Linked DNA regions of Stegostoma tigrinum. The protein of the gene in region 4 purifies or fractionates together with the protein of the main gene of each other region. This does not show direct contact. Links are inferred from orthologs where the notes say so. Each region holds a gene or a part of one and is shown on either strand. Other genes may lie near its edges. The genes, in order: riok2, pno1, tsr1 and bysl.

The links.
Region 1: the proteins of bysl (region 4) and riok2 purify together in Homo sapiens (affinity purification with mass spectrometry; 3 studies listed by BioGRID and IntAct, with this or other methods). This does not show direct contact. The link is inferred for Stegostoma tigrinum from reciprocal best matches to the Homo sapiens genes BYSL and RIOK2.
Region 2: the proteins of bysl (region 4) and pno1 fractionate together in Homo sapiens (co-fractionation; 4 studies listed by BioGRID and IntAct, with this or other methods). This does not show direct contact. The link is inferred for Stegostoma tigrinum from reciprocal best matches to the Homo sapiens genes BYSL and PNO1.
Region 3: the proteins of bysl (region 4) and tsr1 purify together in Homo sapiens (affinity purification with mass spectrometry; 3 studies listed by BioGRID and IntAct, counting the BioPlex papers as one, with this or other methods). This does not show direct contact. The link is inferred for Stegostoma tigrinum from reciprocal best matches to the Homo sapiens genes BYSL and TSR1.

What each region holds. Positions count from the first base shown.
Region 1 is NC_081356.1:87,167,971-87,175,954, reverse strand, and holds the start of riok2 (serine/threonine-protein kinase RIO2), read right to left. Parts: upstream 3,014-7,984; 5' UTR 2,877-3,013; coding exon 2,811-2,876; intron 7-2,810; coding exon 1-6. Other genes in the region: uncharacterized protein LOC125451045, read left to right, coding at 3,270-3,320. UniProt on the Homo sapiens protein: Serine/threonine-protein kinase involved in the final steps of cytoplasmic maturation of the 40S ribosomal subunit. Involved in export of the 40S pre-ribosome particles (pre-40S) from the nucleus to the cytoplasm.
Region 2 is NC_081362.1:4,265,927-4,273,370, reverse strand, and holds the start of pno1 (RNA-binding protein PNO1), read right to left. Parts: upstream 3,017-7,444; 5' UTR 2,976-3,016; coding exon 2,787-2,975; intron 1,577-2,786; coding exon 1,427-1,576; intron 1-1,426. UniProt on the Homo sapiens protein: Part of the small subunit (SSU) processome, first precursor of the small eukaryotic ribosomal subunit.
Region 3 is NC_081380.1:47,861,533-47,868,987, forward strand, and holds the start of tsr1 (pre-rRNA-processing protein TSR1 homolog), read left to right. Parts: upstream 1-4,441; 5' UTR 4,442-4,452; coding exon 4,453-4,573; intron 4,574-5,973; coding exon 5,974-6,077; intron 6,078-6,450; coding exon 6,451-6,667; intron 6,668-7,455. UniProt on the Homo sapiens protein: Required during maturation of the 40S ribosomal subunit in the nucleolus.
Region 4 is NC_081374.1:14,519,458-14,527,435, reverse strand, and holds the start of bysl (bystin), read right to left. Parts: upstream 3,014-7,978; 5' UTR 2,854-3,013; coding exon 2,598-2,853; intron 1-2,597. UniProt on the Homo sapiens protein: Required for processing of 20S pre-rRNA precursor and biogenesis of 40S ribosomal subunits. May be required for trophinin-dependent regulation of cell adhesion during implantation of human embryos.

The DNA.
Region 1 (7,984 bases), on a different chromosome or scaffold from region 4:
TTCGACCTGTACAGTAATAAGAGCAAAATAAAGATGAAACTATCAATTTAGAAGATTTGGAATAGATAAAAATAAGACAGGATTTCATTATAGAATCATTATATAATCCCTATAGCGTGGAAATATGCCCTTTGGCCCAACAAGACTACACCAACCGTCAGGGCATCCCACCCAGACCCATCCCCCAATAACACGCCTAATCTGTACATCCCCGAACATTACGGGCAATTTAGCGTGGCCAATCCACCTAGCCTGCACATGTTTGGACTGTGGGAGGAAACCAAAGGACACCCACACAGATACGGGGAGAATGTGCAAACTCCACACAGACAGTTTCCTGAGGGTGGAATTGAACCAGGGTCCTTGGAGCTGTGAGGCAGCAGTATTAACTGCTGAGCTACCATGCTGCCAACTGAAAGAAAATGTAAAAAAAATCAAGGTAATTACGTGACTAGCTTACTACTACCTATCTCCCACAAGAAGACAGGCAAAGTAAACATCACAGGAAAATCTCTAGGAAATCTCTCTCAATCCTAATCAGAGGAGTTGTTGAGACCCTCAATTATTACTATTCACAGGAACCTACAAGCTATATTTTGTAACTTGAAATGTTATTAAGAATTCATCCTAGCCACTTTTAAAGGTTGACAGGGTATTTCTTTGGTAATTTGTTCCCAAGGCCAAAATCAAAACTCCCTGTCTAATGGTATTGGGGTTCCGTCTATAGCACATGGATTGCAGCAGTTCAAGCAGGCAGCTCACCACCAACTTCAAGGGTGAATAGGAATAGGCAATAAACACATCCCATGAATTAAAATGACTTCTTGCCAACCTATTTTTATTTATTCTTTTCATGGAATATGAACTTAGCAGGCAGCAATATTTGTGGCCCATCCCTCATTGCCCTTGATCCCGAGTAGCTTGCTACACACACTTAATGGGGCAGCTATGAGTCAATCACATTGCTGCGGGTCTGGAGTCACACAGAGGCTAGATCTGGCAAGGACAACAGACTTCCTTTTCTAAAGGATGTCAGTGAACCAGCTGTATCTTTACAACTCTCAGCAATAGACTCACCATCACCATCCCTGGGAATAGGTATAAATTTGCGATATATTCATTTTTCAGTTTAAATCATGACAATTAGCTATTAATCAATCTGTTAAGATATATGCGTGGAGCAGGAAGAACTTGAACCTGAACATTCTAGCCCAGAGGTAAGGACACTACTACTGCACCACAAAGGCCCTAATTCCAGATTTATTACCTGATTTTAAATATCGCCAAGTGCCATGGTAGAACGTGAACCTATGTTCCATATTATTAACTAGGGCCTCTGGATTACTAATCTAGTGACACTATCATTATGTCTCTTTATTATTGCCTTAAATCTTCAGTACAGATTTGAAAGGAGAAACCTTATACGAAAGACCAGCTGGTTTTCCATAGCTTAAGTGGACAGAGTTTGAAAGTTCATGCCCCATTATACTTCATTGAAGTCATACTGAAAAATTACTCATGAGTGGGCTAAAAAAGCTACCATCATAATTCAATAATCTTATAAAATTTACAAAAAAAGTGATCACTTGGCAAAGCAGGAAACTGGCTCAATTGGGGCCTGTTGAGTATTTTAAAATTTTAGTTTTTCAGCATCTGCTGTATTTGGCTTTTGTAATTATGCTTACTTGAGTCCCAGTTCTCTTCCAGGAACTTGATGAGATTTGTATTTGTCTTTTTTACCTTCTCTACTGTTATTGTTTCTGTCAGCAACTCTCTACTTCTGACATACTCCCCATGAATTTCATTTGAAATTTCTTCTGCCATGTTTCGGATCCAATAATGATTACAGATATCTCCAACATATTTTTGTTCTTTGAAGCACCACTCTCAGTGCATTCTATGTAATGCACTGTCACACTTACCCTCAACCTCTCTCTTCACCCACCATCAAAAAGCTATCCTGATCCATAGTTGAATTTCATTCTTCATCTCAAGTAATGCTTTCACGAAAATAAAAACCTTTCCAACAGATGTCAAGGATTGTAATCTTTTCTAAATTTAGGCCAAAAGAAATAGGAACAAGAGTAGGCTGCTGGGGCCTCTCAAGCCTTCTCCATGCAACAGGATCATGACAGATCTGACATTCCTCACAACCACTTTCATGCCCTTTAATTTGTAACTCTCTTCTGTCAGATCCAACCTTAATGCAATTAAATCTATTGATAAGCTGCTTTTGTTCGGTGAGCTAATTATTACCATAGTCAAGTATCAACTGCTTTCTGCTCTTCCCTCTTCTTTCCTTCCTCTGCTTCAACAACAACTTGCTGAAAATGTTTCAGCTCTTAACTGTTTCCAGATCCGACAAAAGTTGTTAACGTCACTTTTTCTTTTTCCATATATTTGGAATATTTCCAACGTTTTCTGAGAGTTCGATATTTACTGAGACATTAAGTACTAAAAATGATTAATGTGAAAATATTCGCCAGAAAAAAGCCACTGTGTTATATCTTAAATGACTGCCTGTGGCATAAAACGTATCAAGAACGTGTTCGCTTCCTCCGCTCCGAGAAAAGCAGCGGACATTGAACTAACAGATAGGGCAAGCGATTTATTATTCAGCAATTCCATTAAACTCCATTTTTTAAAGTCGAAATTATGCTGATGAGGGAGCACATCGCAGCCAGTTTATAAAACAGAAGGATCTGATATAGAGATACCTCCTTATGGTAAATCACGCAGCCCCTCTGAATTACATGTGAACTTTAATCGAGCACAAACCGAGTTCCGACAGGCCCGGACCGGCAACTTACCCCAACCAGCACTCTGAAATCATCTTTCTGTAGGTACCTCAGCAACACTACGTTCAGCTTCCCCATCGCTGAGACCGGCGTGAGGTGGAAGACAGAAAGGAAGAGAAAATTGCAACCTCAATCCCTTTATAACAGAGTACGGACAGACAGAAAACACAGGGCCTTCCCAACAGCTGGATCTCACCCGGCTGTGCATGCGCACTCTCTACCAGGTCCTCAAAGATACTTAGTAAAATTCACTATTCAGTTCGAAATAACAAACACAGTCTCTGAAGACCTCCATAATATATGAATTTAATATTATGATTTGAAACAACGAGATTAACATTGGAGTACTGGTCCTATGGATGCGTATCGCAGTGTTAGATTTGTGTTTTGTGCTGCCAGGGCCTGGAGACGGTTGGGTTCGCGGATTCGGAACGCTGATCATTGGAGTTATTCTGGTTATAGCTCGGAATCATGTCATCTCTCAGGAACAGTCGGGGCCGAGAGCTGCCGCCCAAGATCCCGGTGCGTACGTGTCCACTGGTGTCCGTTTTTATTAGGCAGTCCCTGGGCAGTGAAGATGACTTTCCTTCACTCGGCTGTTGTGAAAGTTCAGTGCTGGAACCACTCAGTCCTGCCACAGGTGGGGCAAGGCGGTATTTGCTGGAGCCAGTGGGTGGGATGCTCGGGCTTTCGCACGCTGCATTCCGCTTGGCCTTCCTCAACACCTGCCGCAGACGATCGAAACGGTTGGCATTTTCATGGGGATGCTTCTCCTCCAGTTTGGGCTGTGTTGGGCTTGCAATTCCCGCTAGTCAGTGGACAGGGGTATTACTTTCTTTGAGGGTGCTAATGGCTTGCAGAGGGAATGGTTCAAAGCCGCCCCGAAAATTCGTCACAGATTGGTGGGAACCTCAAGCCCAGGAGTGCCCAGACGGGTGGCAGAAACACCTGTGAAACCCTTGAGCTGTCTAGCTTTTCTCCCACCTATCTGCTCCTCCCACCGCACTGACGAACCCCCATCCCAACTCCCTTGATCATGACCCCACCCCCGAGCACCAAACCATCATCATCTCCAACACCATCCATGACCTCATCACCTCAGGGGACCTCCCACCCACATCCTCCAACCTCATCGTTCCCCAACCCCGCAACCCCCACCAAGCCCATTTCTATCTCCTTCCCAAAATCCACAAACCTGCTTGCCCTGGTTGACCCATTGTCTCAGCCTGTTCCTGCCCCACCAAACTCATCTCCACCTATCTGGACTCCATTTTCTCCCCTTTGGTCCAGGAACTCCCTACCTACGTCCGTGACACCACCCACTCCCTCCACCTCCTCCACGACTTCCAATGCCCTGGCCCCCAATACCTCATTTTCACCATGGACGTCCAGTCCCTATACACCTGTATTCCTCATGCAGTTGGCCTCAAGGCCCTCCGCTTCTTCCTGTCCCGCAGGCCCGACCTTCCCCCTCCAGCGATACCCTCATCCGCCTAGCTGAACTCGTCCTCACCCTCAACAACTTCTCTTTCGATTCCTCCCACTTCCTACAGTCAAAGGGGGTGGCCATGGGTACCCGCATGGGCCCAAGCTATGCCTGCCTCTTTGTAGGTTACGTGGAACAGTCCCTCTTCCGCATCTACACAGGCCCCAAACCCCACCTCTTCCTCCGTTGCATTGACGACTGTATCGGCGCTGCCTTTTGCTCCCCAGAGGAGCTCGAACAGTTCATCCACTTTACCAACACCTTCCACCCCAACCTCAAGTTCACCTGGGCCATCTCCAACACATCCCTCACCTTCCTGGACCTCTCAGTCTCCATCTCAGGTAACCAGCTAGAAACTGATGTCCATTTCAAGCACACTGAGTCCCACAGCTACCTAGAATACACCTCCTCCCACCCACCCTTCTGCAAACATTCCATCCCCTATTCCCAATTCCTCCGCCTCTGCCACATCTGCTGCCAGGTTGAGGCATTCCACTCCCGCACATCCCAGATGTCCTCGTTCTTCCAGGACTGCAACTTTCCCCCTGCAGTGGTCGAGAACGCCCATGACCGCGTCTCCCACATTTCCCACAACACATCCCTCACACCCTGCCCCCACCACAACTGCCCCCAGAGGATCCCCCTCGTTCTCACATACCACCCCACCAACGTCCGGATACAATGTGTCATCCTCCGACACTTCCGCCATCTACAATCCGACCCCACCACCCCAGCCATTTTTCCATCCCCACCCTTGTCTCTCTTCCGGAGAGACCACTCTCTCCGCGACTCCCTTGTCCGCTCCACACTCCCCTCCAACCCCACCACGCCCGGCACTTTCCCCTGCAACCGAGGAAGTGCTACGCTTGCCCCCACACCTCCTCCCTCACCCCCATCCCAGGCCCCAAGATGACCTTCGATATCAAGCAGATGTTCACCTGCACATCTGCCATTGTGGTATATTGTATCCATTGCAGCCGGTGTGGCTTCCTCTACATTGGGGAAACCAAGCGGAGGCTTGGGGACCACTTTGCAGAACACCTCTGCTCGGTTCGCAACAAACAACTGCACCTCCCAGTCGCGAACCATTTTAATTCCCCCTCCCATTACTCAGACGACATGTCCATCATGGGCCTCCTGCAGTGCCACAATGATGCCACCCGAAGGTTGCAGGAACAGCAACTCATATTCCGCTTGGGAACCCTGCAGCCCAATGGTATCAATGTGGACTTCACAAGCTTCTAAATCTCCCCTTGCCCTACTACATCACAAAACAAGCTCAGCTCGTCCCCTCCCCCGACTGCATCCCAAAATCAGCCCAGCCTGTCTCTGCTTCCCTGACCTGTTCTTCCTCTCACCCATCCCTTCCTCCCACCTCAAGCCGTACCTCCATTTCCTACCTACCACCTCTTCCCGCCTCCTTGACCTGCCCATCTTCCCTGGATTGATCTATCCCCTCCCTACCTCCCCACCTATACTCTCCTCCCTTCCTATCTTGTTTTCTCTCCATCTTCGGTCCACCTCCCCCTCTCTCCCTATTTATTCCAGTTTCCTCTCCCCATCCCCCTCTCTGACGAAGGGTCTAGGCCCGACACGTCAACTTTTGTGCTCCTGAGATGCTGTTTGGCCTGCTGTGTTCATCCAGCTCCACACTTTGTTATCTTGGATCCTTCAGCATCTGCAGTTCCCATTATCCCTATCTACACTCACCTTTACTGGCTTCATCCCTGCCTTCTTGACCTGTCCATCTTCTCTTCACCTATCTGCTCCTCTAGCCACCTTCTATCATCGCCTCCTGCTCTCTATTTACTTCAGAGCCCCTTCCCCTCCCCCATTTCTGAAGAAGGGCCTCACCTCTATATAGAGGAGACCATGTTGTGAGCAGTGAATAGTGTAGACTAGATTGAGTTAAGTACAGATGGATTGCTGCTTCACCTGGAAGGTGTGCCTGGGGCCTTGCTAAGACCACATTGGGATCCCCTTATTAAGGATAGATACTGGCAGCATCTGTGGAGAGAAGCAGTGGAGTGAGGATGAAGATTGGCACCTCGGTAACAGAATTCAGAAAAAACGTCAATATCTGTCCGTGGATGTCTGTTTAAATAATGAGGTGAAAGTGAATTGTTTTGGTATATTCAACAACAAACAAAAGTAGTCCTGCCCCTTTAAAGAAATAATCCTGTATCAAAAGTTAAGGCGTTCACATTTAATAAACCCATAGACCATACAAAACAGAACACATATAGGCCATTTGGCCCCTGAAGCCTCCTCTGCCATTCATTAAATCTTAGCTGCTCCAATAACACTCATCTGGATGAATAGTAAATTTTCAATCTAAAATTGATTGCTTTTTGTTATCCATAAATATTAAACAGAATAGTCAAAAGCATGTGTGTTGAGTTCAATCCCAAATCAATCAAGAAATCAAGAAAGTGGTGGTATTGTCCCTACATGTGAGTCAGGAGGCCTTGAATCAATTCCCACTTGTTCCAAAGCTGTGCATCTCTGAAAACGTTGGTTAGGCTCTAAGAATTAGGAACAGGTGTAGCTCATTCAACCCCTTGTATCTGCTGCATCATTCAGTAGAATCATGGCGGATCCAACATTCCTCATATCCATGTTTCCCCAAAGCTCTTGGTTCCCTACTGATTGAGAATCTATCTGACCCAACCTCAAATATACACGAGGACTCTGACCCCACAGCTCTGTGTAACAAGGAGTTTCAAAGGCTCCCAACCCTCTGAGGAAAAAAAATCTTCCTTATTTCAGTTTTAAATTGGTACTCCTTTATTCTGAGATTAAGCCTCTGGCCCTAGATTCTCCCACAAGGGCAAAGATCCTCTCAGTATTTACGTTGTCAAGCCCCTTAAGAATCCTGTGTGTTTCAATGAGATCACCTCTCATTCTCCTAACCAACAATGAATAGAGTGTCAACTTGTTTAGCCCTTGTTCATAAAATAATCCCTCCATACTAGGGATCATCCCAGTGAACCTTCTGCAATGAAATGAGATGTTTCCTTAAATAAAGGATCCAAATCTGTTCACAGTATTCCTGATATGGTCTACACAAACACTTTCTATAGTTGCAGTAAGACTTTCCTACTTATACTTTCCAACCTCTTCGAAATTAGGGCTAACATTTCATTAACTTTCCTGTGCGCTAGCTTTCTGTGTTTCATGCACAAGTACTCCTCACGTCCCTTTGTGTTGCAGCTTTCTGCAGTTTTTCTTCGTTTATATAATACTGTTATTTTGTTTTCCCTTCCAAATTCTCACATTTTCTCACATTATACTCCATTTGTCAACATTTTGTCGACTTACATAACCTATCAATATCTCTCTGCAAACTGTTTGTATCTACTTTGCAACTTGCCTTTCCATCTATTTTTGTTTCATTTGTGAATTTGGCTATAGCGCATTAGCTCCCTTCCTCCAAGTGATTAATACATGTTGTAAACTGTTGCAGTCCCAGCATTGATCCGTCTGGAGCCCCACTGATTAAAGGTTGCCAACTGCAAAAGAACCCCCTATCCCCGTTCATTGTTTCCTGTCCATTAGCCAGTTCTCTATCCACAGCAATATACTGCTTCCAACACTATGGGCTCCTATCTTGCGACTGAACCTATTGTGAGGTACCTTGTTGAAAGCCTTCTGGAAGTCAAAATGCAACATACCTACTGGTTTCCCTCTGTCCACTCTG
Region 2 (7,444 bases), on a different chromosome or scaffold from region 4:
GTGCTATTGTAAAGGTTAGGAGTGGCTACAAGTTTAGTCTTAAACATTGTCTGTTTAAAAGTTAATACGTACCATTAGTTTTAGAAAAAAATCAAATCAGACTTGAAAGTATAACACACTACCACCTGGAACTAGCCCACGAGTTGAGTCCCATATTCATTAAACCACATGATGGAACAGACTAGGTCTCTGCTCAGTTCAAAACAGATTTCATATAATTTCCCTTTACTCCACAAGGGGCTCCAGAGTGGGCCATGTGGTGCTTCGAGCCTGCTCCACTATTCAATTGGATTATGGCTGGTTTGACATTCTTCATGTCCATGTAACTGTATTTTCCCCATAACTTTTAATTCCCCTACTGATCAAGAATCTCTCCCAGCCTTAAAGATATACAAGAACTCTGCCCTCACAGCTCTTTGTGACAAGGAATTACAAAGACTCACATCTCAGAAGAAATTCTTCCATATCACTAGAATTAGGCGCTCTGGCCCTAAAAATGAGTCTGTTAAACTGCAAAGAATTGGAAGGCATTCTAAAGAATTTACTTTAGAAATCCTTTAATGTTAAGATTTGCATTCTGGTCTAGAAAGTAAGGTGAGTGGTTAGGATCTGGAATACATTGCGCTGGTGTAACAGAAGTTGATTCAAATGTGACCTTCAAAACAGCATAGAATAATTACTTGAAGAGACATATGGAGGGTTATTGGAGAGAGAAACCAGGAGAAAGAGGTGTTCTGCTCTTACATGTGCTGGAACTATCATGATGAGCAAATGGTTTGTCTCAGTGCAATCACTTTTACGATTCTCCTGTGCATAATTTGCCATTGTTCTAAACATACTATGTACGCATAACCTGGCCTATGGAGAGGAAGTGGATCCATTCTATCCCCTGCCCTGAACAAAACACCTAAACTGAATCAGTGACAGTAGGAACTAGCGAGTTTTGAGAAGATTTGTAGCTCAGGTTGAGGTTCTGGATTGAGTTTGTTCGCTGAGCTGGAAGATTAGTTTTTGGACGTTTCGTCACCATTCGAGGTAACATCATCAGTGAGCCTCCGACGAAGCGCTGGTGTTGTGTCCCGCCTTCTATTTATATGTTTAGGTTTCCTTGGGTTGGTGATGTCATTTCCTGCTAATGCTGGAGAATCTGAGATAACAAGGTGTAGAGCTGGATGAACACAGCAGGCCACGCAGCATCAGGGGAGCAGGAAAGATGACGTTTCGGGTCTGGATCCCTCTTCGGAAATGGGCATTTCTGAAGAAGGATCCAGACCCGAAACGTCAACTTTCCTGCTCCTCTGATGCTGCGTGGCCTGCTGTGTTCATCCACTAGTAGACCTTGTTAAACTGAATCAGTACCTGGTATTGCTATTTGTATCACCAACACATTATTTCCTTTTGTAACTATAATTCTGAGCATAGTTACCTTGATTTCAACATTTCTAGTTTTCAGGTTAAACCTCACTTGTAGCTGCAGGTGTTCAACAATTGGGGTAAAGATTTTCAACCAGTTCTCTTTCAAAGGTGTATATCTGTGTGCAGGTACAGCTACTTTGCGAATTTCATCTTTGCCATCCTAGAAGAAAAATGATATCTCTCAGGATTAATGCAAACTTTAAAAGAACCACATGTGATCTCTAAAATGAATCAGAAGACAGACAATAAGATTATAGGGATAGTAGGAAATGCTGATGCTGGAGAATGAGATAACAAAGGTGCAGAGCTGGATGAACACAGCGGGCCAAGCAGCATCAGAGCAGCAGGAAGACTGACTTTGAGTCCAGACACTTCTTCAGAAAGATTATAGGAACAGAATTAGGCCATTCGATCATGGCTGACGTGTTTCTCAATGCTATTCCCTCAACATCTCCCAATAAACCTTAATCCCTTACTTAATCAAAAGCCTATCTCACAGCGTCTTAAATAAACTCAATGACTTGATCTCCATAGCCCTCTGTGACAATGAGCTCCACAGATTCACCACCCTCTGGTTGAAGAAATTCCACCTCATTTCAGTTCAAAAGAATGTCCCTTGAGGTCCCAGTCTCTCTCAGGATTGAAAGCATTTTTTCTACATCCACTCTATGTAGATCTCTCAATATTCTGTAAACTCGGAGTACAGATCCAGAGTGCTCAACTGCTTCTCAAATGACAAGTTCTTCATCCCCAGAATCATTCTTGTAAGCCTCCTCTAAACTCTGCAGAATGCCAGCACTTCCTTAGATACAAGGAAGAGGTTGTATATTTCTGCTGTATTCTAGTCATCTTGAAATGAATGATCACATTGCATTTACCTTCCTAACTGCCACAAGGACCTTAAGAGAATCCTGAATTAGATCACCCAAGACCCCTGTGTTTCAGATCTCTGAAGCCTTTCCCAAGTTAGAAAATAGTCTCTAACTTTAAAATGGGGCAGGATGGGGAAGAGAGGGAGGGAGGAAGAACAGAATGAGCATATTCTGAGTGCGAATGGGGGGGGGGGGGGGGAAGAGTGCGAATGGGGGGGGGGGGAAGAGTGCAAATGGTGGGGGGGGGGGGAGTGCAAATGGTGGTGGGGGGGGGAGTGCAAATGGTGGTGGGGGGGGGGGGGAGTGCAAATGGTGGGGGGGGGGAGTGCAAATGGTGGGGGGGGGGAAGAGTGCAAATGGTGGGGGGGTGGGAAGAGTGCAAATGGTGGGGGGGTGGGGGAAGAGTGCAAATGGTGGGGGGGGGGGGGGGGGGGAGTGTGCGAATGGGCGGCGGGTGTGTGACTAATGAACCGTATTCCCACCGTCCTCTTCACCCACCAGCTGGTGTCCGGAGATAGCGGGGAACTCAGGCCTTTTGTTCGCTGGCGGGTCCTCCGCCTCCATGCCGGCCGCTCCCGTCTCCATCTTCCTCTTACGCTTCCCCCGCTTCTTTGCGGCGCTGATGAACTCGAGATCTCGCTCTGCATCTGAGCCCAGCTCCGGTCCTGCCATCACCTCCGCCGCCATGACAGCTGCTCCGAAAGGACCCCAGCCGAGGGCTGTCCACTCTACTCGCCTGATTCCCCCCCGCGTTCCATTGCCGGGGATAGACCGTATTCACAGTGACGTCACTGCACAGTCAGGACCCCATGGCATGTGCTCGCTGGGCAGGGCTCTTCTGCACCACGTGCACCCTTAAGGCTCGAAAAGGCCATAAGAAATAGGAGTAAGAGTTGACCATTCGGTTCTTCTAACCTGTTCCACCATTCACTGGGATCATAACTGATCCAATATTCTTCACGTCCACTGTCCTAACCTTTCCCCATACTCCTTGATTCCCTGACCGATCAAGAATCTTTTATCTTAGACTTAATTATACACAAGGACTCTGTCCCCGCAGGTCTCTGTGGCAATGTTTTCCAAAGATTCTCAGCCCTCTGGGAGAAGAAATTTTTCCTCATTTGTCTCAAACTGGCACCTTCCTATGCTGTGGATGACAGAGTTGGGGTGGATGAGGTGGTAGGATGGATAAGAGGTGTGGGAGGTAGGACGCTTGAGGGGGAGTGGTGGGGTAGGACTGAGAAGGGGACTGGGACAGATGGTGGAATTGGGAGGGTGGGCAGATGAGGAAGGTGGGGCACATGAGACAGGGTAAGAGTAGGTAAGATGAGGCATGCGGGGGTGCAGATTAGTGAGTTGGGGTGATGAGGAAAGGGGTGGGATGCCCTCTTGTCCTCGACTCTCCAGTGAGGGGAAAATCCTCCCAGCATTTATCCTGTCAAGCTCCTTAAGAATCGCATATGTTTCAAGAGACCAACTCCCATGCTTCTAAATGGCACGAGTAGAGACCCAAGCTGTTTAGCATTTGCACAGCATTTGTTCATTAGACAATCCATCCATATTGGGGATCATCTTAGTAAACCTTCTCTGAGGCCTGGGATAGGGGTGAGGGAGGAGGTGTTAGCGAGTTTTGAGAAGATTTGTAGCTCAGGTTGATGTTCTAAATGTGAGTTTGCTCGCTGAGCTGGAAGGTTAGTTTTCAGACATTTCGTCACCATTCTAGGTAACATCATCAGTGAGCCTCTGATGAAGCGCTGGTGTTATGTCCCACTTTCTATTTATCTGTTTAGAGTTCCTTGGGTTGGTGATGTCATTTCCTGTGTTGGTGATGTCATTTCCTGTTCTTTTTCTCAGTGGATGGTAGATTGGCTCCAAATCAATGTGTTTGTTGATGGAGTTCCGGTTGGAATGCCATGCTTCTAGGAATTCTCGTGCGTGTCTCTGTTTGGCTTGTCCTAGGATGGATGTGTTGTCCCAATCAAAGTGGTGTCCTTCCTCATCTGTATGTAAGGATACGAGTGATAGTGGGTCATGTCGTTTTGTGGCTAGTTGATGTTCATGTATCCTGGTGGCTAGCTTTCTGCCAGTTTGTCCAATGTAGTGTTTGTCACAGTTCTTGCAAGGTATTTTGTAGATGATGTTCGTTTTGCTTGTTGTCTGTATAGGGTCTTTAAAGTTCATTAGCTGCTGTTTTAGTGTGTTGGTGGGTTTGTGGGCTACCCTGATGCCAAGGGGTCCGAGTAGTCTGGCAGTCATTTCGGAAATGTCTTTGATGTAGGGGAGAGTGGTTATGGTTTCTGGGCCCGTTTTGTCTGTTTGTTTGGGTTTATTGCTGAGAAATCGGTGGACTGTGTTCATTGGGTACCCATTCTTTTTGAATACGCTGTATAGGTGGTTTTCCTCTGCTCTGCGTAGTTCCTCTGTGCTGCAGTGTGTGGTGGCTCATTGGAATAATGTTCTAATGCATCTTCGTTTGTGGGTGTTGGGATGGTTGCTCCTGTAGTTCAGTATTTGGTCCGTATGTGTTGTTTTCCTGTAGACGCTGGTTTGAAGTTCCCCATTGGCTGTTCGCTCTACTGTGACATCTAGGAATGGCAGTTTGTTGTTGTTTTCTTCCTCTTTTGTGAATGTTATGCCAGTAAGGGTATTATTGATGGTCTCGAAGGTTTCCTCTAATTTGTTTTGTTTAGTGATGACAAAGGTGTCAGCCACGTAGCGGACCCAAAGTTTGGGTTGGATGATTGGCAGAGCTGTTTGTTCGAGTCTCTGCATTACTGCCTCTGCTAAGAACCCTGATATCGGAGATCCCATGGGTGTACCGTTGGTTTGTCTGTAGGTTTTGTTATTGAAAGTGAAGTGGGTGGCAAGGCATAGGTCCACTAGCTTGATGATGTTGTCCTTGCTGATGAGGTTGGTGGTGTCTGGTGTATGTGTCTTCAGTTCTTCTAATAGCATAGTCAGTGTTTCTTTGGCCAGGTTGATGTTGATGGATGTGAACAGGGCTGTTACGTCAAAGGAGACCATTATTTTATCCTCTTCTATCTTGAACTTGAAACATCTGAAAATTAACCTTCCAGCTCAGCGAGCAAACTCACATCCAGGAGGAGGTGTGGGGGGAAGTGTAGCACTTCCTGCGGTTGCAGGGGAAGGTGCCGGGTGTGGTGGGGTTGGAGGGGAGTGTGGAGCAGACAAGGGTGTCACGGAGAGAGTGGTCTCTCTGGAAGGCAGAAAAGGGTGGGGATGGAAAAATAGCTTGGGTGGTGGGGTCGGATTGTAGATGGCGGAAGTGTCGGAGGATGATGTGTTGTATCCGGAGGTTGGTGGGGTGGTATGTGAGAACGAGGGGGATCCTCTTTGAGCGGTTGTGGCGGGGCGGGGTGCGAGGGATGTGTAGCAGGAAATGCGGGAGACGTGGTCAAGGACGTTCTCGACCACTGCAGCAGGGGAAAACATGGACATTTGGGATGTGCGGTAGTGGAATGCCTCATCCTGGGAGCAGACGCGACGGAGGCGGAGGAATTGGGAATAGGGGATGGAATTTTTGCAGGAGGATGGGTGGGAGGAGGTGTATTCTAGGTAGCTGTGGGAGTCCGTGGGCTTGACATGGACATCAGTTTCTAGCTGGTTTGTCTGAGATGGAGACTGAGAGGTCCAGGAAGGTGAGAGATGTGTTGGAGATGGTCCAGGTGAACTTGAGGTTGGGGTGGAAGGTGTTGGTGAAGTGGATGACCTGTTCGAACTCCTCTGGGGAGCAAGGGGTAGCGTCGATACAGTCATCGATGTAACGGAGGAAGAAGTGGGGTTTGGGGCCAGTGTAGGTGCAGAAGAGGGACTGTTCCACGTAACCTACAAAGAGGCAGGCATAGCTTGGGCCCATGCGGGTAACCATGGCCACCCCCTTTGTCTGTAGGAAGTAGGAGGAATCGAAAGAAGTTGTTGAGGGTGAGGACAAGTTCGGCTCGGCAGATGAGGGTGTCATTGGAGGGGGATTGGTCGGGCCTGCAGGACAGGAAGAAGCGGAGGGCCTTGAGGCCATCTGCATGAGGAATACAGGTGTATAAGGACTGGACATCCACGGTCAAAATGAGGTGTTGGCCGCCAGGGAATTGGAAGTCCTGGACGAAGTGGAGGGCGTGGGTGGTGTCACAATGTAAGTAGGGAGTTCCTGGACCAAAGGGGAGAAAATGGAGTCCAGATAGGTGGAGGCAATCCGACCCCACCACCAGACATTTTTCTATCCCCACCCTTGTCTGCCTTCCAGAGGGACCACTCTCTCCGTGACTCCCTTGTCCGCTCCATGCTCCCCTCCACCCACACCACACTTGACACTTTTCCCTGCAACCGCAGGAAGTGCTACACCTGCCCTCATACCTCCTCACTCACCCCCATCCTAAGCTCCAAGATGACCTTCCATATTAAGCAGAGGTTCACCTGCACATCTGCCAATGTGGTATACTGTATCCACTGTACCCAGTGTGACTTCCTCTACATTGGGGAAACCAAGTGGAGGCTTGGGGACCACTTTGAAGAACACCTCCGCTCGGTTCGCAATAAACAACTGCACCTCCCAATCGCGAACCATTTTAACTCCCCCTCCCATTCCTCAGATGACGTCATCATGGGCCTCCTGCAGTGCCACAATGATGCCACCCGAAGGTTGCAAGAACGGCAACTCATATTCCGCTTGGGAACCCTGCAGCCCAATGGTATCAATGTGGACTTCACCAGTTTCAAAAACTCCCCTTCCCCCACTGCATCCCAAAACCAGCCCAGCTCGTCCCCTCCCCCCACTGCACCACACAACCAGCCCAGCTCTTCCCCCCCCACCCACTGCATCCCAAAACCAGTCCAACCTGTCTCTGCCTCCCTAACCGATTCTTCCTCTCCCCCATCCCTTCCTCCCACCCCAAGCCGCACCCCCAGCTACCTACTAACCTCATCCCACCTCCTTGACCTGTCCGTCTTCCCTGGACTGACCTATCCCCTCCCTACCTCCCCACCTATACTCTCCTCTCCACCTATCTTCTTTTCTCTCCATCTTCGGTCCGCCTCCCCCTCTCTCCCTATTTATTCCAGTTCCCTCCCCCCATCCCCCTCTCTGATGAAGGGTCTAGGCCCGAAACGTCAGCTTTTGTGCTCCTGAGATGCTGCTTGGC
Region 3 (7,455 bases), on a different chromosome or scaffold from region 4:
TCCTTCTTATAATGCAGTGACCAGAACGGTACACAATACTCCAAGTGCGGCCACACCAGAGTTTTGTACAGCTGCAGCATAACCTCTTGGTTCCGGAACTCGATCCCTCTATTAATAAAAGCTAAAACACTGTATGCCTTCTTAACAGTCCTGTCAACCTGGGTGTCAACTTTCAAGGATCTGTGTACATGGACACCGAGATCTCTCTGCTCATCTACACTACTAAGAATCTCACCATTAGCCCAGTACTTTGCCTTCCGGTTACTCCTACCAAAGTGCATCACCTCTGCATTAAACTCCATTTGCCACCTCTCAGCCGAGCTCTGCAGCTTATCTATGTCTCTCTGCAACCTACAGCATCTTTCATTACTATCCACGACTCCACCGACCTTAGTATCGTCTGCAAATTTACTAACCCATCCTTCTACGCCCTCATCCAGGTCATTTATAAAAATGAGAAACAGCAGTGGCCCCAACACTGACCCTTGCGGTACACCACTAGTAACTGGTCTGCAGGATGAACATTTCCCATCAACCACCACCCTCTGTCTTCTTTCAGCAAGCCAATTTCTGATCCAAGCTGCTATATCTCCCACAATTCCATTCCTCCGCATTTTGTACAAATGTTAGGAAGGCAAATACAATATAGCTAGAATACAAGAGCAGGGAAGTATTGCTGAGACTGTTAAGGGTCTGTTCAGATCACATTTGGAATATTGTGAGCAGTTTTGGGTGCTATTGAGATGTGGAGGAACTTTTTCAGCCAGAGGGTGGTGAATCTGTGGAAGTCGTCACCACGGAAGGCTGTGCAGACCAAGTCACTGAGTGTCTTTCAGACAGAGATAGATAGATTTTTGATTAGTATGGGATTAAGAGTTACAAGGAGCAAGCTGGAGAATGGCGTTAAGAATCGTAACAGCTGCCTCGCTCCCTTATTAACAGGGGTGTTACATTAGCAAACATGGGAAACATATTATCCATTACTCCCAACAGCATTCATTACAGTGCTCGAGCACCAGATAGAATACCATTGTTTTGACTGAGCTGTAGTTTAATTTCCAGGCTGTGAGAATCTCATAAGGTCTTCCTTGATTCGACACACAACTGAATTTAAACCTCAGAGATAATGGGAACTGCAGATGCTGGAGATTCCAAGATAATAAAATGTGAGGCTGGATGAACACAGCAGGCCAAGCAGCATCTCAGGAGCACAAAAGCTCCTGAGATGCTGCTTGGCCTGCTGAATTTAAATCTCCTTGGCTTCAAATAACACCTTCAAGTGTCTGAAAATTTTACCAAACTCCTTACACTGTGGGAACTTATTTTTAACAATTATGAACTATCATATACTTTCCTTATGAGTCATTGCTTTACACATTCAACTTTAGCAAAGGACCCTGCAGAACCACCGTAACTGAATCTAAAAAACCTCAAACTTCAATTTCCCCAAGCTGTGGATTTTCTCCTAAGTCCAAAAAAAACAGAATCTTCAAAGCATTCAATAATGTTCTGCATGGTAGACTGGTTAGTAAGGTTTCAGTATATGGGATCCAAGTGGAGCTAGCTATCTGGATACAAAATTGGCTTGAAGGTAAGAGATAAAGGGTGGTGGGGGAGGGTTGCTTTTCAGACTGCAGGCCTGTGACTAGTGGTGTGCCACAAGAAACAATGCTGGGTCCACTACTTTTCATCATTTATTGAAATGAATTGGGTGTGAATATAGGAAGGATTGTTAGACAGTTTACAGATGATACCAAAATTGGTCTGTAATGGACAGTGAAGAAGGTTATCTCAGAGTACAGTGGGACATTGATCAGATGGGCCAATGGGCTGAGGAGTAGCAGAAGGAGTTCAATTTAGATAAATGTGAGGTGTAGCATTTTGGAAAGGCAAATTAGGGCAGGGCTTATACAATAAATGGCAGCATGTTGGAGAGTGTTGTCGATCAAAGAGACCTACAGGTGCAGTTGCAGGTGCATTGTTCCTTAAAAGTGAGTTACAGGTAGACAGAGTAGTGAAGGTGGTGTTTGGCACACTTGCCTTCATTGGTCAGACTATTGAGCATGGGAGTTGGGATGTCATTGTGCGGGTTTGCGGCACATTGGCGAGGTCACCTTATCAATACTATATACAGTTCTGGTCTCCCTGCTATAGGAAGGATGTTGTTAAACTTGAGAGGGTGCAGAAAGGATTTACAAAGATCTTGCTGGGTTTGAACTATAGGGAAAGGCTAAATAGGCTGGGGCTATTTTTCCTGGAGCATCGCAGGCTGAGGGGTGACCTTATAGGGGTTTATAAAATCATGAGGGATGGGGAATAGCTAAGGTCTTTTTTCTAGGGGGGAGGATCTAGAAGTGGACAACAGATGTTTAAGTTGAGAGAGGAAAGATTTAAAAAGGACCTGAGGGATAACTTTTTCACGCAGAGGATGGAGGGAGCTGCCACAGGAAGTGGTGGAGGTGGGTACAGTTACAAACATTTAGTAGGCATCTGGATGGGTACGTCAGTGGGAAGGGTTTGGAAGGATAGGGGCTGCTTGGCTCTATTTTCTATCTGAAAGCTTAATATGCTTCAATGCTTACTTTGTTCATTTTAAGAGGAGGCAATAACCTTGTGGTATTATCAGGTGATGTTCTGAGTTCTCAGGAAAGGTCACTGGACCCGAAAGATTAACTCTGAATTTGTCTTCACATTTACTGCTGAGCTTTTCCAGCAATTTCTGTTTTTGTTTCTGATATTCTGCAGACCTTGGTTCAAATCCCGCCAGGACAGATGATGGAATTTAAATTCAATTTAAAAAATCTGGGACTAGGAGCCAAATGACTACCATGGAACCTTTGCCCATTGTTGGGAAAAGCCCACTGCCCTTCAATCACTAATGTCCTTTAGGGAAGCAAATCTGCCATCCACACCCAGTCTGACCCACATGCGAATCCGGACCCACTGCAAATGTGGTTGACTCTTAACTGCAAGTGGGGCTATTGGGGATGGTCCATAAATGCTGGCCCAGCCAGTGATGCCCCATGAACAAATAAAAAATATCCAAAGATCCAAACTCTAAATTAAATGATGTTAAGTCAGACTGCTGAATCTGTCATCGTCTGACAGTTGTGCAGCTCCAGCGTCCTCCCCTAAAGGACATCAATGAACCGGCTAAGATTTCACGACAATTTGACAGGTTCAGCATCGCTTTCACTGAGACAACTTTTATATTTTCTAGTTTTTAACTGTGTTCATATTTTCAGACTGTATTTCAAACAGCATCCTGTGGATTATTCACCTGCATCACTAACACCTATTCCTACACTCAGTCTCTCTCCTGCTAACCATTATCAGATACAAGCCATAAGACTCCCTCAAAACGTCAGCTTTCCTGCTCCTCTGGTGCTGCCTGGCTTGCTGTGTTCCTCCAGCTCTGCACCTTGTTATCTCTAATATCATAACAGTTTTAACAAATAACATGGTTGGCATGATCTGTTCAACTGAAGGGTCTGTGTCCATGCTGTATGACCCTCTCGTGTGGAATGTTAGTACATGGATCAGTGACAATGACAAGAGAGGCTGAATGGTCAAAGCTTTGTTTTAAATAATTGAATGAAGTTGTGTGAGTAATGGAGTTGAACTGTAAATCTATTTGACTTTATTCTCCAGTCTGTGCCAACAACTACTTCTTGTTCCTAGACGACACGGTGTGAAGCAGGCCAAGCAGCATCAGAGGAGCAGGAAGGCTGATGTTTCGCGCCTAGACCCTTCATCAGAAAAGCTCCAATTACTCCTTTCTCCTCTCTGCCAGGAGATCTGCTGTCATGGTATGTCCCGCTCAACTGTCTGTGCCATCCTCTCTCTTATCCACTGGGGATCATCTGTAACCGCCTTGTGATGCCCGTTATCCAAATACATCAAGACCGATCCCTGCTGCCTTGCGCCCACTGGAAGAGATCACTGCAGCTCTGATCAGATGTCCTGGATGTCACATTTTCCTCTTCATTACGGTCTGCACATGGAATGTACGGCCATCACGCACATTTCAGCAGTGATTTCCACACAGAGCACTGTTCAATCTGGAAAGGATTGCAGTCTGACTCTTCTGAGTTATACCAACAACAGCTTATACTTTTCCTCACAGCACAAAACTGCAAATACTGGAATGGCCCGCCTCAGAACTGTTGGCAGGCGTGGTATTTCCAGAATTATCTGAGTGTATGTTTCAATTTGAAGATCATAGATATTTCAGACTAATAGGCCCAAGAACAGTGAAGGTGGATTTGCAGAGATTTGAACCCTCCCTGAAGATGTCTCCTCTGTGTTTCTGGTCATGAACCACAAGATTGATTTACCGCCAGGCCCCGGCCCCGCCTCCCTCCCAGGAGCACTCCTCCAGTATCCCAGCATGCCGCAGGGGCCGGATGGCTTCAGGTCTCCTCCTGCTGCCGTGGTGAGCTCTTTGTGAAGATGGCGGGTGATGGGTCCCTGAGGCAGGAGGTGCACCGGCCCGGGGCCTTCAAACAGAGCAACAAGGAGCACAAAACCGGGAGGCACCGCAGCAAAGGCGGCCTGGAGCGGGAGCGGAGAGGTGGGGGGCGGGGGGCTGACACACGCACACACAGAAGGGACACGTGGCTGCGGGGGGGGGGGGGCGGGAAGGGTGTAAGAGGATGAGGGGCGGGGGGGGGTGAGAGGGGGGCGAGGGGGGCGGGGGGGGGTGAGAGGGGGGCGGGGGGGGGCGAGAGGGGGGCGGGAGGGGGGCGGGGGGGGCGAGGGGGGGCGGGGGGGGCGAGAGGGGGGCGAGAGGGGGGCGGGGGGGGCGAGGGGGGGGCGGGGCGGGGGGGGGGTGAGAGGGGGGCGGGGCGGGGGGGGTGAGAGGGGGGCGGGGCGGGGGGGGGGTGAGGGGGGCGGGGCGGGGGGGGGTGAGAGGGGGGCGGGGGGGGGGTGAGGGGGGCGGGGCGGGGGGGGGGTGAGAGGGGCGGGGCGGGGGGGCGGGGGGGGGTGAGGGGCGGGGGGGGTGAGAGGGGGGCGGGGGGGGTGAGGGGGGCGGGGCGGGGGGGGTGAGGGGGGGGCGGGGCGGGCGGAGGCGGGGGGGGCGGTGAGGCGGCGGGGGCTGTGGGGGGAGGGGGCGGGGCGGGGGGTGTGGGGGGAGGGGGCGGGGATGTGGGGGGCAGGGGGGTGTGGGGGGCAGGTGTGGGGCTGGGGGCAGGAGGGTGGGGGCGGGGGGGTGTGGGGCTGGGGGCGGGGATGTGGGGGGCAGGGGGGTGTGGGGCTGGGGTCAGGGGGGCGGGGGTGTGGGGGGTGTGGGGCTGGGGTCAGGGGGGCGGGGGTGTGGGGGGCAGGGGGGTGTGGGGCGGGGGGCAGGAGGGTGGGGGGGCGGGGGGGTGTGGGGCTGGGGGCAGGAGGGTGGGGGGCGGGGGGGTGTGGGGCTGGGGGGCGGGGGGGTGTGGGGCTGGGGGCAGGAGGGTGGGGGGCTGGGGGCGGGGATGTGGGGGGCAGGGGGGTGTGGGGCTGGGGGCGGGGGGGTGGGGGGCTGGGGGCAGGGGGGTGGGGGGCGGGGGGGTGTGGGGCTGGGGGGCGGGGGGGTGTGGGGCTGGGGGCGGGGATGTGGGGGGCTGGGGGCAGGGGGGAGTGTGGGGCGGGGGGGTGTGGGGCTGGGGGCAGGGGGGAGTGTGGGGGGCAGGGGGGAGTGTGGGGGGCAGGGGGGTGTGGGGCTGGGGGCAGGGGGGAGTGTGGGGGGCGGGGGGGTGTGAGGGGCGGGGGGGTGTGGGGGCTGTGGGGAAGGGGGCGGGGGGTGGGAGGGTGAGGGGTTGGGGGGGCAAGGGTGCAGGTGGAGGGGCAAGGGCGCAGGTGAGAGGCGGTGTGCAGGAGGGGTGGAGGATGGATGGCGGGGAGGAGGAGGGGAGGGCGGTTGGGTGGTTTTTGTCGGGGAGTTGGTTGGGTTGGCTGTGACTCTGCCTGATCACTGTGTCCCCATGTTGGCTCCAGGCAGAGTGAGTGTGAAAGTGAGCAGCAAGAAGCTGAGAAAGGTGCTGAGGAAACATGATCGGCGACACCAGGCATTGCAGATCCGCCAGCAGAAGAGGGAGGCGGTGAGTGTGCCCCCATTTCTCCCCCCCCCCCATCTGCTGTACTTTACCCTCGCGCCACCCCCCCCCACTCTCATCACCCATCCTGTTGGCCTCATCCACACCCTGTCCCCATTTCCACCCCCAAAATTTATCTCTGGAGTTAAATGAAATAAAACAAAGAGCTGTGGGTGTTGGAAATCTGTAACTAAAACTGAAAGTGCTGGCGAAACTCAGCAGCCCTGTCCGGCAGCGTCTGTGGAGCGGTCAGGATTTGGTGCTTGGATGCGCCCCTCCCTGTTGCCAGATTCAGTCACGCACACAGCTGCAGGTTGGAAAGTGGATGTATTTTATGAACTACAAAGACACAAACTTTCTGACCCATGTTCTGCTCTAGGTACTCAGTGAGAAGAGGAGCCTGGGCACTCAAGATGGTCCCCCCCATCTGGTGGGTGTCATCGTATTACACTCTGGTACAAGTGGCCAGAATGTCATGAGGCTAATTCGGACTGACGAGACCTCGAGTGTGTACGACCTCGATGGAAGTGGTGAACGATTTGGCTTGGTTTGCCCCAGGTTCAAACAGAGATTCAGCTTCATCCGAGTGAATTCAGGTCAGTGGCAGAGAGCTCTTGAGAAGTCTCAGCAGATTCATGCGATCAGCTTTCATTCATGTAGCTGTGATGTAGTTAAGAGTGTGGATAACCAAACACTACATACATTGGAGATAATGGGAACTGCAGACGCTGGAGAATCCAAGATAACAAAATGTGAGGCTGGATGAACACAGCAGGCCAAGCAGCATCTCAGGAGCACAAAAGCTGATGTTTCGGGCCTAGACCCTTCATCAGAGAAGGGGATGGGGTGAGGGTTCTGGAATAAATAGGGAGAGAGGGGGAAGTGGACCGAAGATGAAGAGAGGAGAGTATAGGTGGGGAGGTAGGGAGGGGATAGGTCAGTCTAGGGAAGACGGACAGGTCAAGGAGGTGGGATGAGGTTAGTAGGTAGGAGTTGGGGCTGTGGCTTGGGGTGGGAGGAAGGGATGGGTGAGAGGAAGAACAGGTTAGGGAGGCGGAGACAGGTTGGACTGGTTTTGGGATGCAGTGGGTGGAGTGGAGGAGCTGGGCTGGTTGTGTGGTGCAGTGGAACTCCCTAATTATGTCATGCAGTCTCAAATGGATACTTCAGATGAGTTGTTGTTTACATCTACAGCCGAAAGAAACCAACAGAGGAACTGTGGATGCTGGAAATCAGAAACAAAAGCAGAAGTTACTGGAGAAATTCTGCTGGTCCAGCAGCATCTGTGGAGAGAAAGCCGAGCTAATGTTTTGAGCTCAGTGACCCTTCTTTATAACAGGTTTATGTATGTCATGTTGAGGATGCCTCACATGAGCTGCATTCC
Region 4 (7,978 bases):
AGTTAGGTGTACAACTTACTGATACCACAAACTAAAAAGAAAATGATCAGATTAACAATCTCCATCCAAATCTTAACTTTTTTTCCCCCTCAATTCCTTTCCATTTCAGCTGCTACACATTTTTACCATTTTCTGATTGTACTAGAGAATCCTGTGCAACAGGCAATTAGGAAGGGTAATGGTACGTTAGCCTTTCTCCATGTTAAGAGGATGTGAGTACAGAAATCGTGAAGTCTCATTTCAATTATACAGAAACTTGGTTTGACTGCATCCAGAGTGCACAGCATGTCTAGTTTTGGTGCCCTTACCTTAAGAAGGGTAATACCACTATAGAGGGGGTGCTCTGAAATTCTACCAGATCTCAAAATGTTCAACTAATCTTGAAGAGAGAGACTGAGGAAACTGTGATGACATTTTATAGAGTGAGAGGTCATCTCATTGGAATCTACAAAATAGTTGAAGTGAAGGATGGGAAAGATGCAGACAAGGGGTTTCCTCTGGTTGCAAAGTCTAGAAACAAGAGTCACAATTTGAAAATAATGGGGAAGCCTATCAGAACTGAGATGAGAAGTTTTTTTTTAAAAAAAACTTTGGGGGAACATGAATCTTTGAAAATGTATACTCCAGAGAGCTGTGGAAGCTCATTCACTGCATTTGTTTGATTGACAGATTTTTCAAGACCCATGATATTAAGGAGTAAGAAGATAGTGTGGGGGGGAAAAAGACATGGAATTGGACAATTAGCTGTGATCATATTGAATCTACAGCAGGCTCAACAGGCTGAATAGTCAACTCCTGTTCCTAAACTCCAAAAGTCCAAAGGATCCAATAGCAAAACAATACATCATTAATGTCCTAAAGTATTAGTCATTAACAATACAAAGAAATTTCCAGTTTTTACAAATAGGTACATAACAACTACTTGGAGAACTAACTCTTCACTTACAAACTCATCAGGCCTGGCAACGTCTACAGAGAGAGAAAAAAATCAATCAATGTCATCGGGAAGGCGATCACTGACGTTCTGGGATTCCAAGTTTGAATCCTGCCATAGCAGAACTTTTTATGAAAAGATCCAGAATTAAGAATCTCCTGACGACCATGAAATCGTCATCGATTGTCGGAAAAACCCGTCTGTTTCACTAATGTCCTTCAGGGAAGGAAATCCACCATCCTCACCTGGTCTGGTCTACATGTGACTCCAGACCCAAAGCAGTGTGGTTGACTCTCAATTGCCCTCTGAAATGGCCTAGAAAGCCAGCCATTCAGTTGTACCAATCGCTACAAGATCTCAAAGAAATGAAACCAGATGGATCACCTGGCATCAGCTTAGGCACCAGAAGAGACCATGGCAGAAATAGCCCTGTAGACCCTGCAAAATCCTCCTTACTGACAACTGGGGGCTAGTGCCAAAATTGGGAGAGCTGTCTCACAGACTAGTGAAGACAGCCTGACAAAGTCATACTCACGGAATCATCAGTAGTAACAGTGTGTAGCATCTACAAGATGCACTGCAGAAATTCACCAAACATCCTCAGAGAGCACCTTCCAAACTCATGACTACTTCCATCTAGAAGGACAAGGACAGCAGAGATATGGGAACACCCAACCACCTTCAAATCCCCTCCAAGCCACTCACTGTCCTGACTTGGAAATGTACACTTTTCCTTCACTGTTGCTGGGTCAAAATCCTGGAATTCCCTCTGACAGGAGGTGGACTATAGCGGTTCAAGAAGGCAACTCACTACCACCTTTTCAAGGGCAGCCAGGGACAGAGAAGAAATGCTGGCCAGCCAGCAATGCCCACATCCCACAAATTAATTTTAAAAAGGTCCAAATTAACTCTTCTTCAGGGTTGTCGTCCATGGAGAAGAAGCTAAAGAGGGCCTTCAAGAGGGTTTTTTTTAAAAAAAGGGTTTGAAGACAATATTGCACATAAACAGAAAGTTATCAATGACTTAAGGGTGAAGGGTCCTAAGACAAATACCAACAGAGTGAGGTGACTTATCTGTAAGGCAGAATCTGCTAGGGTGACGGATACAGGTTCAATTATAGCTATTAAAAAGGAACCAAATTGTTTTTTTCCTTCACCAGCAAGAAAACAGCAAATGCAATTCAGGCTCTAACTTGATTTCTCATTGAAAGTGGTACAGACCTGAATGTTCACTTCTGCGCTCAACAAAGAAAGATAGTTTGTATGCATCAACTGTGGTCTTAGAATCACCACACCACGCAAGAAATGTAAATAGCAGGATTGTTAGATTCTGTAAAGAAATGGGTTATTATTTCAACTGAACACATCAAAAGCACCTTCAGTCGGGCCATTCGGCCAACTAACTACTGGCGTTCATGCTTCAGACGATTTTCATCTAAGTTGCTCAGCATTTATTTCTTCCCCCTGCAGTTATCCAACTTTCCCTTAAATTTTGACAGAATTCCAGATCATACGATATTCCAACACTTGTTTAGCCTGGTTAACTATTTTTCGAAACTGCTTTGGCAACCTTGGGTGATGCGGATTTAATACCAAACCTGTTACTACACTTTGAGACCCCCGGCTCCCGCGCTTTCTGGCCGTACGGTGCAGTCAAACCTACCCAGGACCGTGGCTTGGGGTCTCTTCTTCTTGCTGATTCCATGCTCTGCCTCCAGCTCCTCCTGCTGAATCCTGGCCTGCTCCAGGATCTTGCGGGACAGTTTCTCGTCCACGTACTCATCGTCAGCCTCGTCGCCCCGGCCCCGCTTCTTGTTGCGGCTGATCGGTTTGACAGCATCTTCCTGCAGGATCTGATCGGCCAAGGCCAGGCCCCTGGACTCCTTTAGCCTGCCTTTAGCCGCCTTCGCTTTCGGCATCACCCCGTCCAAACTAAAGCACCAACCCCTCCTCAGACACGTTGAAACAAAAACGGAATCGTACCCCTCCTTTCCTAGACGCCGGAAGGAAAACACCGGATCGAAAAGCACTGATCACGTCTGCCCGACCCACGTGGCCAGTGCACTGACTCCTGCGCCTGCGCGACGTGTATCAATTTCAATAAGACGCACCACGTTCCATAATTACATCGCCAGTTTCATTCTACTCAAGTGCTCCTTCCTGCCTTTCTCCCACTTGGTCTCTTTCCATACTTATTGCTTCCTTTCAGTCGGAAGCAGGCCTTCCAGCCTATCCTGCTGATGCTGGCCCTTTGAAAGAGCTCATCCAATCTGTCCTGTAAATTGTATCAGTGGTAAGGGGAACTGCAGATGCTGGAGAATCCAAGATAATAAAATGTGAGGCTGGATGAACACAGCAGGCCAAGCAGCATCTCAGGAGCACAAAAGCTGACGTATCGGGCCGAGACCCTTCATCAGAGAGGGCGATGGGGTGAGGGCTCTGGAATAAATAGGGAGAGAGGGGGAGGCGGACCGAAGATGGAGAGAAAAGAAGATAGGTGGAGAGAGTATAGGTGGGGAGGTAGGGAGGGGATAGGTCAGTCCAGGGAAGACGGACAGGTCAAGGAGGTGGGATGAGGTTAGTAGGTAGGAGATGGAGGTGCGGCTTGGGTTGGGAGGAAGGGATGGGTGAGAGGAAGAACAGGTTACGGAGGCAGAGACAGGTTGGACTGGTTTTGGGATGCAGTAGGTAGAAGGGAAGAGCTGGGCTGGTTGTGTGTTGCAGTGGGCGCAGGGGACGAACTGGGCTGGTTTTGGGATGCAGTGGGGGAAGGGGAGATTTTGAAGCTGGTGAAGTCCACATTGATACCATTGGGCTTCAGGGTTCCCAAGCGGAATATGAGTTGCTGTTCCTGCAAGTTTTGGGTGGCATCATTGTGGCAGTGCAGGAGGCCCATGAAGGACATGTCATCTAAAGAATGGGAGGGGGAGTGGAAATGGTTCGCGACTGGGAGGTGCAGTTGTTTATTGCGAACCGAGCCCCCGCCACAACCGCCCAAAGAGGATCCCCCTCGTTCTCACACACCACCCCACCAACCTCCGGATACAACGCATCATCCTCTGACACTTCCGCCATCTACAATCCGACCCCACCACCCAAGACATTTTTCCATCTCCACCCTTGTCTGCTTTCCAGAGAGACCACTCTCTCCGTGACTCCCTTGTTCGCTCCACACTGCCCTCCAACCCCACCACACCCGGCACCTTCTCCTGCAACCGCAGGAAATGCTACACTTGCCCCCACACCTCCTCCCTCACCCCTATACCAGGCCCCAAGATGACTTTCCATATTAAGCAGAGGTTCACCTGCATATCTGCCAATTAGGCATACTGTATCCATTGTACCCGGTGTGGCTTCCTCTACATTGGGGAAACCAAGCGGAGGCTTGGGGACCGCTTTGCAGAACACCTCTGCTCGGTTCGCAATAAACAACTGCACCTCCCAGTCGCGAACCATTTCCACTCCCCCGCCCATTCTTTAGATGACATGTCCTTCATGGGCCTCCTGCACTGCCACAATGATGCCACCCGAAGGTTGCAGAAACAGCAACTCATATTCCGCCTGGGAACCCTGCAGCCCAATGGTATCAATGTGGACTCCACCAGCTTCAAAATCTCCCCTTCCCCCACCGCATCCCAAAACCAGCCCAGTTCGTCCCGTCCCCCCACTGCACCACACAACCAGCCCAGCTCTTCCCCTCCACCCACTGCATCCCAAAACCAGTCCAACCTGTCTCTGCCTCCCTAATCTGTTTTCCTCTCACCCATCCCTTCCTCCCACCCCAAGCCGCACCTCCATCACCTACCTACTAACCTCATCCCACCTCCTTGACCTGTCCGTCTTCCCTGGACTGACCTATCCCCTTCCTACCTCCCCACCTATACTCTCTCCACCTATCTTCTTTTCTCTCCATCTTCGGTCCGCCTCCCTCTCTCTTCCTATTTATTCCAGAACCCTCACCCCATCCCCCTCTCTGATGAAGGGTCTTGGCCAGAAACGTCAGCTTTTGTGCTCCTGAGATGCTGCTTGGCCTGCTGTGTTCATCCAGCCTCACATTTTATTGTCCTGTATATTGGACTGGGGCAAAAAAAACAGAAATTGCTAGAAAAGCTCAGCAAGTCTAGCAGCATCTGTGGGGAGAAATTAGATTAGATTCCCTACAGTGTGGAAACAGGCCCTTTGGCCCAACAAGTCACACCACCCCTTGAAACATTCCACCCAGACATATTACCCCATAATCCACACTCCCCTAACACTACAGGCAATTTAGCCTGGCCAATCCACCTAGCCTGCACATCTCTGGACTGTGGGAGGAAACCCACACAGACACATGGAGAATGTGCAAACTCCACACAGACAGTTGCCTGAGGCTGGACTCAAACCCAGGTCCCTGGTGCTGTTAGGCTGCAGTGCTAACCACTGAGCCACCATGCCACAAAATCACAGTTAATGTTCAGGGTCGAGTGACCCTCCCTCAGAATGCACCCAGTTAGACTGGGATTGTTTTCCTTAGACCACAAAGAGCTCATTGAGGTCTACAAAATTATGGGGTCATAGAAAAAGTAGGTAGAAACATCTTTTCCTCTTAATAGTGTGGTTAATAGCCGGGGTAGATGACGGGAGGGACACAGCATTAAGGTAAAAAGCAGGAAGTTTACAGGGGAATTTCTTCCAGTTGGGTCGGTGTCTGGAAATTATTGCTTAAAAGTATGGTTTAGATGGGAACCCTTAAGATATTTAAAAGCATTTAAATGACCCCTCGAAATACCATTACATACTAGGCTATGGGCTATGAACTGAGTGCTGGAAAATGGGACTGGACTGGATAGATGCATGATGACCAGCACAGGACACGACGGGCTAAAAGGTCTTTTTCCCTGTATAAGGTCTCCATGGGTCGAATGATGCCTATTGTACGAGGTTTTAGTCAGTTTTACTGGCATCGTAACATTCTGTCTTCAACTCAATGACCCAAGCCCTTCTAATCCTAATTTCTTGTACTTCATTGATTTTAATCACTATATGGTCATATCTTCCCTAGGCCTCCAGGCTCAGAAATACTCACCCTACACTTTTCCGCTTCTCTATCTCCCTTTTATTTTAAATTCTTCTTAAAACCTATTTTTTGACAAAATGTCTGGGCTCCAATATCGCACCATGTGGCTGAGTATCATACTTTGTTTTTATAATACCCTTCCGAATCAACACCTCCTCAGAAACGTTGAAACAAAAACTAAATCATACCCCTCTTTTCCCAGATCCCGAGGGGAGGGAGGAAAAAAAACACTGGATCAAAAAGCACCAACCACTTCTGCCTGACCCACGTGGCCAATACACTGCATTTTGCACCTATGTGACATGTATCATTTTCAATAAGACACACCACATTCCAACATTCCCACAGTCAGTTTCATTCTACCCATAATGTTTTATGACATTAAAGTTTCTATATAAATACAAGTTGCCCCCTATACTCACCTTTGGTTCCTTTACCAGTTTCCATAATTAGCAAGAAGGGTCCCGACCCAAAATGTCAAGCTTTCCTGCTCCTCTGGTGCTGCTTGGCCTGCTGTGTTCATCCAGCTTCACACCATGTTATCTCAGATTCTACAGCATCGGCGGTTCCTACTATCTCCATGATTAGCAATCCCAGTCCTTGCCCATTGCTTAAAGACTTAAAGACTCGATTCTTCTAAATGGACAAATGGACTTCAGAGTTCAAGAAGCTGGCTCACGACCACCTTCATAAGAGCAACCAGGGATGGGCAGTAAGTGTTGGCCCAGCCAGGGATGTTCACATGCCATGAGTAAATGAAAAAAATCTCCACAGTCTCATTCAAAACAAGACAGATTCTCCCAAAGGCTCCCCTTCCTATCATTTTTTCAAGCTCTCACACTTCTTTCATATCCAGCTGGGAGATGAGAATTTGATTTTAAGACCCAAGTTGTTATGATTTTGAAATGTGCTGCCTGATTGGTTGAAGGAAGTATTTTTAAAACTTTGAAATGTAATTACTGTATAGTTCTATAATGACTTGAACAGGCAAAAATAGCAGGGCTGTGGGAAATGAGCAGAAGATTGGGATGAGGTGAATTGCCCTTCCAAAGAGGCTGTATAGTCATAAACCAATTTGGATCAATTTGGCAGCTGCCTCTTCGCTTCAATCAGTATCGTGCTACCTTGTTCAGCAAGTGGAGAGATAACATCAAAATGTTAAAGCTGTTGGGAACCCATTGTGTCAATATGCTTCTGCTGCAGCACCATTTTGCATGTCTGTTAACACTTGTAGACATGAACATATATCATGTAAGTATTTTGTTAAGATGACAACATATCAGAACTTTGAGATACAGCAAATTGTGGATGCTCTTCTATTTAGGATATGGCGGATATGATAACATTTCAACACTTGCAATGTATTCTGATTACCTTGTATGGATCAGATACAAACTTGGTTTATTTGTCTATTCTGACAATAAAAAGTACTTGCAGATGGAATCTTGGCTGATTCCTTCAGTTCTGTTAATTGCTGATTTGGTGCTAACATTTACTTGTTCCAAACTACACTGATTTGTGCATCCATATGCAAAAGTACTTTTAGAAAGTAAGTCACTGTTTATTGTCAGTAGAACAAAGCCTAAGGGGTATATTTCATTTAAAGTAATTCCCCAAATTTTATTATGTGTTATGATTTTATTTCCTTCATTATTATTCCAAAGTGGGAAATAACCTTCTACTTCTGCTAAATTGCACTTCCTTCCTACAAGAATAAATGTTTGTCCCCATAGAACAATATATATCTTGAGTGGTTTCTGGGGTGAAACAAGGACATTATGTGCATTTTTATTAAAAATCTGTATACTTTTCAGGTCAAGAATGGGATGGTGTGGCCTTTGGGAACAGAAAAACCTGCATGAGTGAATAATCATTGTTATAGAACTTTTGTTTTTACTACTGAGACATGATAGATGTCATTTTTGATTAAGATTTCCATCATAGTTCAAAATGCAGGAGGAAAGAGATATTATGCAGTTTTGCACTGT